Lonchura striata: one gene and its partner. The protein of the gene in region 1 binds, or shares a complex with, the protein of each later gene. Links are inferred from orthologs where the notes say so. Each region holds a gene or a part of one and is shown in the gene's direction. Other genes may lie near its edges.

Evidence for each region. The genes of interacting proteins can lie anywhere in the genome.
Region 2: the proteins of RUVBL1 (region 1) and ACTR6 are in contact, whole or in part, in a cryo-EM structure (PDB 6IGM), measured with the Homo sapiens proteins. The link is inferred for Lonchura striata from reciprocal best matches to the Homo sapiens genes RUVBL1 and ACTR6. Residues at the interface, in NP_003698.1 of Homo sapiens: Lys162, Thr163, Ala164, Lys165, Gly166, Thr167, Tyr209; in NP_071941.1 of Homo sapiens: Tyr217, Tyr300, Arg338, Cys339, Leu340, Thr341, Pro342, Thr343.

What each region holds. Positions count from the first base shown.
Region 1 is NC_134614.1:13,220,581-13,224,325, forward strand, and holds the start of RUVBL1 (ruvB-like 1), read left to right. Parts: upstream 1-959; 5' UTR 960-1,032; coding exon 1,033-1,173; intron 1,174-1,900; coding exon 1,901-1,987; intron 1,988-2,590; coding exon 2,591-2,723; intron 2,724-3,745. UniProt on the Homo sapiens protein: Possesses single-stranded DNA-stimulated ATPase and ATP-dependent DNA helicase (3' to 5') activity; hexamerization is thought to be critical for ATP hydrolysis and adjacent subunits in the ring-like structure contribute to the ATPase activity.
Region 2 is NC_134607.1:55,970,673-55,974,417, forward strand, and holds the start of ACTR6 (actin-related protein 6), read left to right. Parts: upstream 1-1,363; 5' UTR 1,364-1,538; coding exon 1,539-1,606; intron 1,607-2,508; coding exon 2,509-2,626; intron 2,627-3,745. UniProt on the Homo sapiens protein: Required for formation and/or maintenance of proper nucleolar structure and function. Plays a dual role in the regulation of ribosomal DNA (rDNA) transcription.

The sequences.
Region 1 (3,745 bases):
TCTGTGAGGCCATGAAACAACCTGCTGGGACTCTGGAGTGGTTTTACCCATTGCAATTGCTCGAAGCTCATTGGGAATACGTGCTGTGGGTGCAGCACAGCCTCAAATGCTTACAGGAAGGCCTTCAAGATGCAGAATAGAATTATTCCACAGTTTCACTGGACACTAGAAACTAATGAGCGACACCGAGCAGGTAAGAGACCATCCCCACCTTCCTTGGCAGGGGAGCTGGACTAGGTGGTCTCAAGTGGTCCCTTCCAACCTTAACGATTCTGTGAATCTTTGAAAAAGTTTTAGAGAACACCCTTGGAAAGTCTTAATTTATTTTTGTGAGCTAAAGCCAGCAGAGGTTTTGTGAAGGCTCAGGGCTCCTGGCGCACTGTCAGCGGCTGTGGGCGGGCAAGGGACAAGACAGCGAGCCAGGGACACCCAGCGCTCCCGCAGCCCCGGCAGCAGGACAAACGCTGGCTCCAGCGCCAAATCGGATTGTAGAACGAAAGAAAGAAAGAAAGAAAGAGCTGAAGTGCGGCAGGGCCAAAAAACCTGCGAGCAAGAACGAGCTGGCTCCCCCTGCGGAGAGCTCCGCTCGCCGCTCCCCAAAACCGCCCTTGTCGATGCAGAGAATCTCAGAACCACTTAGGCTGGAAGAAACGCCCAAGATCAGAATCCAGCCTATGACGGGTCACCACCTTTTAACCAGACCCTGGCAGCGAGTGCCACGTCCGGCGATTCCCTGAGCGCCTCCAGGGACAGCCACCCCGCCACCTCCCTCCTTCCCGGCCCTACTCCTCCGCAGCGCCCGCGCCCGCCCGGACCGCCGGTGCGCGCCGCACGCGGAAACGGGCGGGCGGACCCTAAAACCCCGAGCCCCGGGGCTGACGGGCAGGCTGGGCGTCCAATGAGCGGCGGGAGCGCCGCGGCGCGGGCCAATGGCGGGCCGGGGGCGGGGCGCGCCGGAGCCGCGGTGAGGCGCGGGCCGCGTGCGAGCAGCGCGGGGCGGCCGGGCCGGAGCTGCCGCTGCCCTGCCCCGCCATGAAGATCGAGGAGGTGAAGAGCACCTCCAAAACCCAGCGCATCGCCGCCCACAGCCATGTCAAGGGGCTGGGGCTGGACGAGAGCGGCGCCGCCAAGCCGGCGGGGGCCGGGCTGGTGGGGCAGGAGAATGCGCGGGAGGTGAGCGCGGGGCCGGGCCGGGCAGGGGCGGCTGACGGTGCCCGACCGCGGGTGGGAGCCGTGCCCGGGTTCTGTGCGGCTGCTGCGCTCTGAGGCGCCGGGGGGCGGCCGCGCTGTGCTGGCTCTGCTCCTGCTTCGCGTAGCGACGGGGACGGTCTCCCGGGTGCCGGCGTGCTCACTGGGGTGTTACAGGCAACGAAACCGAGCACAAGTCTGCGGGTTTGATGCACGTAGGGATTGGAGCATCCGCTCCTGTGCGGGCCGGATAAAGCCATCATAGAATCACAGATTGGTTTGGATTGGAAGGGACCGTAAAGATGATGTCTCGTTCCAGCCCCCTGCCGTGGGCAGAGACTCATCCCACCGGACCAAGTTGTTCAGAACCTCATCCAGCCTGGCCCTGAAAGAAGCTCTGTAGGGGATTTGTGGCTCAGGCAGCGAAGATTAATTTCTTGCTTTACTTTCAAACCTTTGTCTGTGCGTGGGACAGCGAGAGGGAAAAGCAGTCGGGGCTCACAGATTGAGTTTCGTTTTCTGTGGTTTTTAATGTGTGTCAGATAAAATGATTGTAGAAAGTATGTTTCCCGAACTTTCTTTTTGTGTGCATGACACTGAAATCTTTATTTTTTGTAAAACCTGTTATTTCTAAATACTTTAGGTAATGTTGGAACAGAAGATACTATAGCAATACTTGTGTTAACGGTATAAATGCCTATTTAACTTACAGGCATGTGGGGTTATAGTGGAGCTAATCAAAAGCAAAAAAATGGCTGGCAGAGCAGTGCTGTTGGCAGGACCTCCAGGAACTGGCAAGGTATTACTTTTCTGTTTTGTTACAAAATAAAGTATTTCCAAATCTGTTTTAATTTGTCAAAACCGTTTTAGGGTAGTGGTTACAAAGTGTTTTCATATGCCAGATTTTTTTTCAATCAATGTACTCATGTAGTTTTCTACTTGATATTTTTGCTTTTGTGGTATCATCGACACTGGGAGTACCCGTTGTTGTGTTCAGCATCTTTAATGTGAAACCACCTCTTGTAGGTTACTAAACACATCAGTAGCAAGAGCTCTGAAAAAGTTTTAGAAGTTACTTTTTTATTAAAAGCCAGAAAGGTTTTTGCTTGGTTTACTTTTTTTCCTCCATGCTATTTAGGCTTTTTGCATCTGTAGCAGGTGTCAAATTCAAGCAGCCAGTATGATGTCTTCAGGGTTTTTTAAAGCCTTTGGCCAAGGTCAACTGTGTTTGAGGAGGGTTTTTGTATGTGAGAAATATATGTCAGACAGAATAGCCATAAATTGGTAGGTGATATATAGAAGGTGATACAATGAGGAAAGTTAACTTTGTGCAAAAATAATAATTTCTTAATTCTCTTCAAAATTAATGTCTGGGTTTTGTATTTCTTTTTTCCTTTTAAAGACTGCTTTGGCTTTAGCTATTGCTCAGGAACTGGGAAGCAAAGTTCCTTTTTGTCCTATGGTTGGAAGTGAGGTCTATTCCACTGAGATCAAGAAAACAGAAGTTCTCATGGAAAATTTCCGACGTGCAATTGGTAAGTTTCAGGAAAAGAAGAATGAAGTGTTTGCATGATACTTTGCTTTTTCCCAGTCATCTGAAAAGGAAAAACTTTTCAATGGTCAAGCCATTTTCAGGTTTTCATATACTTACTTTTTTCAGTACTGATTCTAATTTAGTGAATCTTTCACACTTAGTGGAGTCAGGTTTTGTGTGTACAAAGTGTAATTTAATTTTTGTATTTTGGTTTATACTTCATCAAATTCTTTTATCTGTCAGATTCACCTCTCCATTTTGCCTATGACTGAATAAAGCTGAAAGAAAAAGCAATTTTTAATTTCTTACATTAGCAGAAATACTTGTAGACAGAAAAATACTCTTCCTATTTTTTGTTCTAGTGATTCCACCCTGGTAAATTAACACTTTTAATCAGGGGCTCACAAACAGCAGCATTAGCCTGACTTACTATTCCAGTGAGCACAGAGAAAGTTCCATGCCAACTGAATAAACATTGTAACTTAATGTCTTCCTCAGTTCTATGCTACATTTACAAGTTTGATGTAAATTGGTTTAATTTGCAACGCAATCTCAGTGACTATCTAAAATCTCTTTACACAGCTGCTGCTGACAGCTGACAAATGCAGAGAGAAGTAGCCCTGGTTTGTGTGAGGATTGGCTAAAGAGAACCCCGTTGATTTTAGTCCTGAATGTATTAACAGAAATTTTCCTGTTTCAGTACCATGTTTCCTATTTGGCTTCATCTGGCAGCAGCAGGGTGAAGAAGTCTCTCAGTTCTTCAGTGAAACAAAAGTATTCCATTGACTTTTATAAGGAAGCAACTTTCAGTAGTCTCTGGTCTTCTGGTTACCATGAAACTGGCAGGGCCTGGGGGAGGGAAGCCTCAGTAGTCTGCAAAATTTCCTTGATGTGATGAAGTTCCCTGTCAGAGGTTTAGAAACCTGAACCAGCAGGTGGAACTTAGGCCATCCATGTTGTCAGTGCTAGAGATAGCAGAGGTTTAACAGCCAGCTACATTGTTAGTTCTCTGCATTTCCTGAA
Region 2 (3,745 bases), on another chromosome or scaffold:
GCACCACTGCAGCAAGGAACACAAAGCAGATCCTGGGCTGCATCCACAGGGGCTTTGCTAGCAGGGACAGAAACTTGATCATCCCACCCTGCTTGGTGCATTTCAGGCCACACCTGGAGTATTGTGTCCAGTTCTACTCCTAGCAGCTCCAAAAAAAATTGTGGACAACCGGAGAGCATCCAAATTAAGGCTATAAAGATGATCAAAGGCTCAAGAACACACCCTGAAGGACTGAAGAACTTCCTTTTTTTCTGCCCCAAGAAGCTTGGGGAGACCTTATCACAGTATTGTGGTACTTACAGAGTGGCTACAGTGATGGAGGCTCTCTCTTCACAAGAAGACAAAAGGCAACACGTGTTAAGCTGTAACAGGAGAGCTTTCATTTTGAAATAGGGAACTTCTGCCCAGTGAGAACAACCAATCACTGCAAAAACCTCTCCTCAGGGAGTTCTGACTGCAGGTTTTCAAGATGGTGTTGGACAGGATGTTAGATTATCTCATCATGGTTCCCTTTACTACAACAGGTTGTACCAGATAATCTTTCAGCACCCTTCCACCTGTTGCTGTTCTATGGTTCTGTGATTTTATAAAGGTCTATGGTGCTATATTACACAGACTTCAGTAAAGCAAAAACTGCACAGGAACAGAGAATTCCAATAGCACTGTTTTCCATATAATTTATAATAAAAGTGTTAATTATGCACATTTTGAAAGACTTTCAACATGAAAAAAGGTTGTAGCCCATTGAGAGTTGGCCTCTTCTCCCAGAAAATCAGGGACAGGATGAGAGGACTTAAGTCTTAAACTGCACCAGAACTTGTTGTTGTTGTTGTTTCACAGAAATGGTGATTAGACATTGGAATTGGACTGTCCAGGGAGGTGGTGCAGTCACCATCCCTGAACGTATTTAAGAAAAGGGCGAGCATGGCACTTAGAACCATGGTCTAGTTTACATAATGCTCATTCATATGTTCAACTCGGTGATCTCAAGTCTTTTCCAACCAAATTGATTCTGTGATTCTGTAACAGTAAAATAATGATGATGGAATTTACAGTTGTCTCCCTTTCTATTGTGTCACATTCTTATATAGCCCAGGCCCGTGTTGCTATACACTTCTCAATGAGATTGTCACTCAACACGTTTATCCCGAGGCGCGGGGCTCCCGCACCGCAGCATCCCGAGCCGGCAGGGTCACCGGGGCAGTCTGTAACTTTAAACCACCGCCACAGCGGGCTCTCGCCCTAGCACCCCCGCCTTGTCCCAGCCGTCGGTGCCGCCCCGCGGGGCTGGGAGCGGCAGGGAGCCGCGGGCCCGCCCCCGTGTGACGAGCGCTGCCGGGTCACGCCCGGCCAATGGCGCCGCAGCTCCGCAGCGTCACCGGCAGGGCGCGCGCCGCGCGGCAGAGGCGGAGCGCTGCCGGCACTCCCGCGTCCCGCGGCCACGCGCGCGCTGCTCCTCCGCTCTATGGTCGCCGTAGAGATCCACGGCGGTGGCGGATCAATACTGGGACGGCGGCGGCCGTGGCGCCGTGGGGAACATGGCGACGTTGGTGCTGGATAACGGCGCCTACAACGCCAAGATCGGCTACAGCCACGCGAACGTCAGGTGAGGGGCCGGGCCGGGCCGGGCCGGGGCGGGCGTTGGGCGTCCCCTCACGGCTTCGCCGCCGCTCTCCGCCAGCCCCGAGCCCCTCGGCCGCTCACCGGCACGCCGGCCCGCAGCGCGCCTGCGCTCGCCGCGGAGAGGCGCGGCCTGCCCCGCCCCGCCCCTGCGGCGGCTGCGGACCCCGCACCCCCGCCCCTGTGTCACACCGTGCCCCTGTGGGTCACACCGTGTCCCTCTGTGTAACACTGTGCCCCTCTGTGTCACGCCGTGCCTCTGTGTCACGCCGTGCCCCTGTGGGCCACGCCATGTCCCTCTGTGTCACACCGTGTCCCTCTGTGTCACACCGTGCCTCTGTGTAACACTGTGCCCCTCTGTCACGCCGTGCCTCTGTGTCACACCGTGCCCCTGTGGGTCACACTGTGCCCCTCTGGGTCACACCGTGTCCCTCTGTGTAACACTGTGCCCCTCTGGGTCACACCGTGCCTCTGTGTCACACCGTGCCCCTGTGGGTCACACTGTGCCCCTCTGTGTCACACCGTGTCCCTCTGTGTAACACTGTGCCCCTCTGGGTCACACCGTGCCTCTGTGTCACACCGTGCCCCACTGGCCGGGGTTGGGGGAGAGCCCCTGGCGCTGTTCTTGCTGTGCCGGCAGCAGGGTTGCAGCTCAGCGCAGTGTGCGGCAGAGGTGGGGGGTGGTGTTCGGTTTTCCAAAAGGTGTCTCTTCTGTACTGGAGTTGTCAGAAATTAAACATTTCCCCTACTACTGGCTCCAGTTAACGGACTAAAGCCAAAATACAGCAGCAAAAATATTATTGAAATTACAGTGTTTATGAAAGTGGCGTAAAGAAAGTGAATGTGTCTTATACCATGTTTAATAGGAAGCTTTCCAATCTTTTCCAGCGTTATTCCCAACTGTCAGTTCAGGTCAAAGACTGCACGCTTGAAAACCTTTACGGCAAATCAATTGGATGAAATTAAGGATCCCTCTGGTCTTTTTTATATTCTTCCCTTTCAGAAAGTAAGTAAGATATCTTCAGTTTAACATTAAAGCCAAATGTAAATTGTTCTAAGGAATAGTTTTCATACTGTATGTCCCAACTGCAGGGTTATATGTAGTATCACACAAGAATCAGTCAGCAGTGTGAAGTTTAACAGTCATAGAATTGTTTAGGTTGAAAAAAACCTTTAAGATAATCAAGTCCAAAAGTTAACCCTGCACTGTCTGGCCCATCACTTAGCCATGTCAGTAAGTGTCACATCTGCACATCTTCTAAATACCTCCAGGGATGGTGACTCAGCCAGTTCCCTGGGCAGCCTGTGCTAGTAGTTGACAGCCCTGTTGGTGAGAAAATGTTTCTATTCTAAAACTGTCTAGTGCAACTTAAGGCTATTCCCTCTGGTCCTGTCCCTTGTTATCTGGGAGAAGAGACCAACCATCACCTCACTACAGCCTCCTTTCAGGTCACTGCAGAGAGCGATAAAGTCCCCCTTGAGCCTCCATTTCTCCAGGCTAGACAGCCTCCCTCAGCCTGGTCCTCACAGGATTTGTTCTCTGAACCCCTCACCAGCTTTTTTGCCCTTCTCTGGACTTGCTTCAGTCCTTCAATGCCTTTCTTGTTGGGAGGGAGCCAAAACTGAAAGTAGGATTCAAGGGATGGCCTCAGCAGGTGCAGGAAGGCAATCCCTGCCCTAGTCCTGCTGGCCACACTATTGCTGATGCAGGCCACGATACTCTTGGCCACCTGGGCACACATTAGCTCATGCTCAGTGGCTTCCAACCAGCACTCCCAGGTCCTTTTCCACTGGGCAATGTCCCAGCCAGCCTGCCCCAAGCCTGTAGTGCTGCATGGGGTTGTTGTGACCCAAGTGCAGGATGTGGCAGTTGGCTGTGTTGAACATCATAAGATTGTCCTCAGTCCATCAATCCAACCCATCCAGAAATCTTTACAGAGCTTTTCTATCCTCCAGCAGATCAACAGTCCTACCCAATTCAGTGCTTTCTGTTGAATTACACCCAATCCCCTTGTCCCAGCATGAGCCCTGGGGGCCCCTGTTACCAACAGTCTGGACAAGGGGATTGGTGACAGGATGCCGAGTGGTTGTAGCACCATTCAGCACCACTCTCTGGCCTGGACAT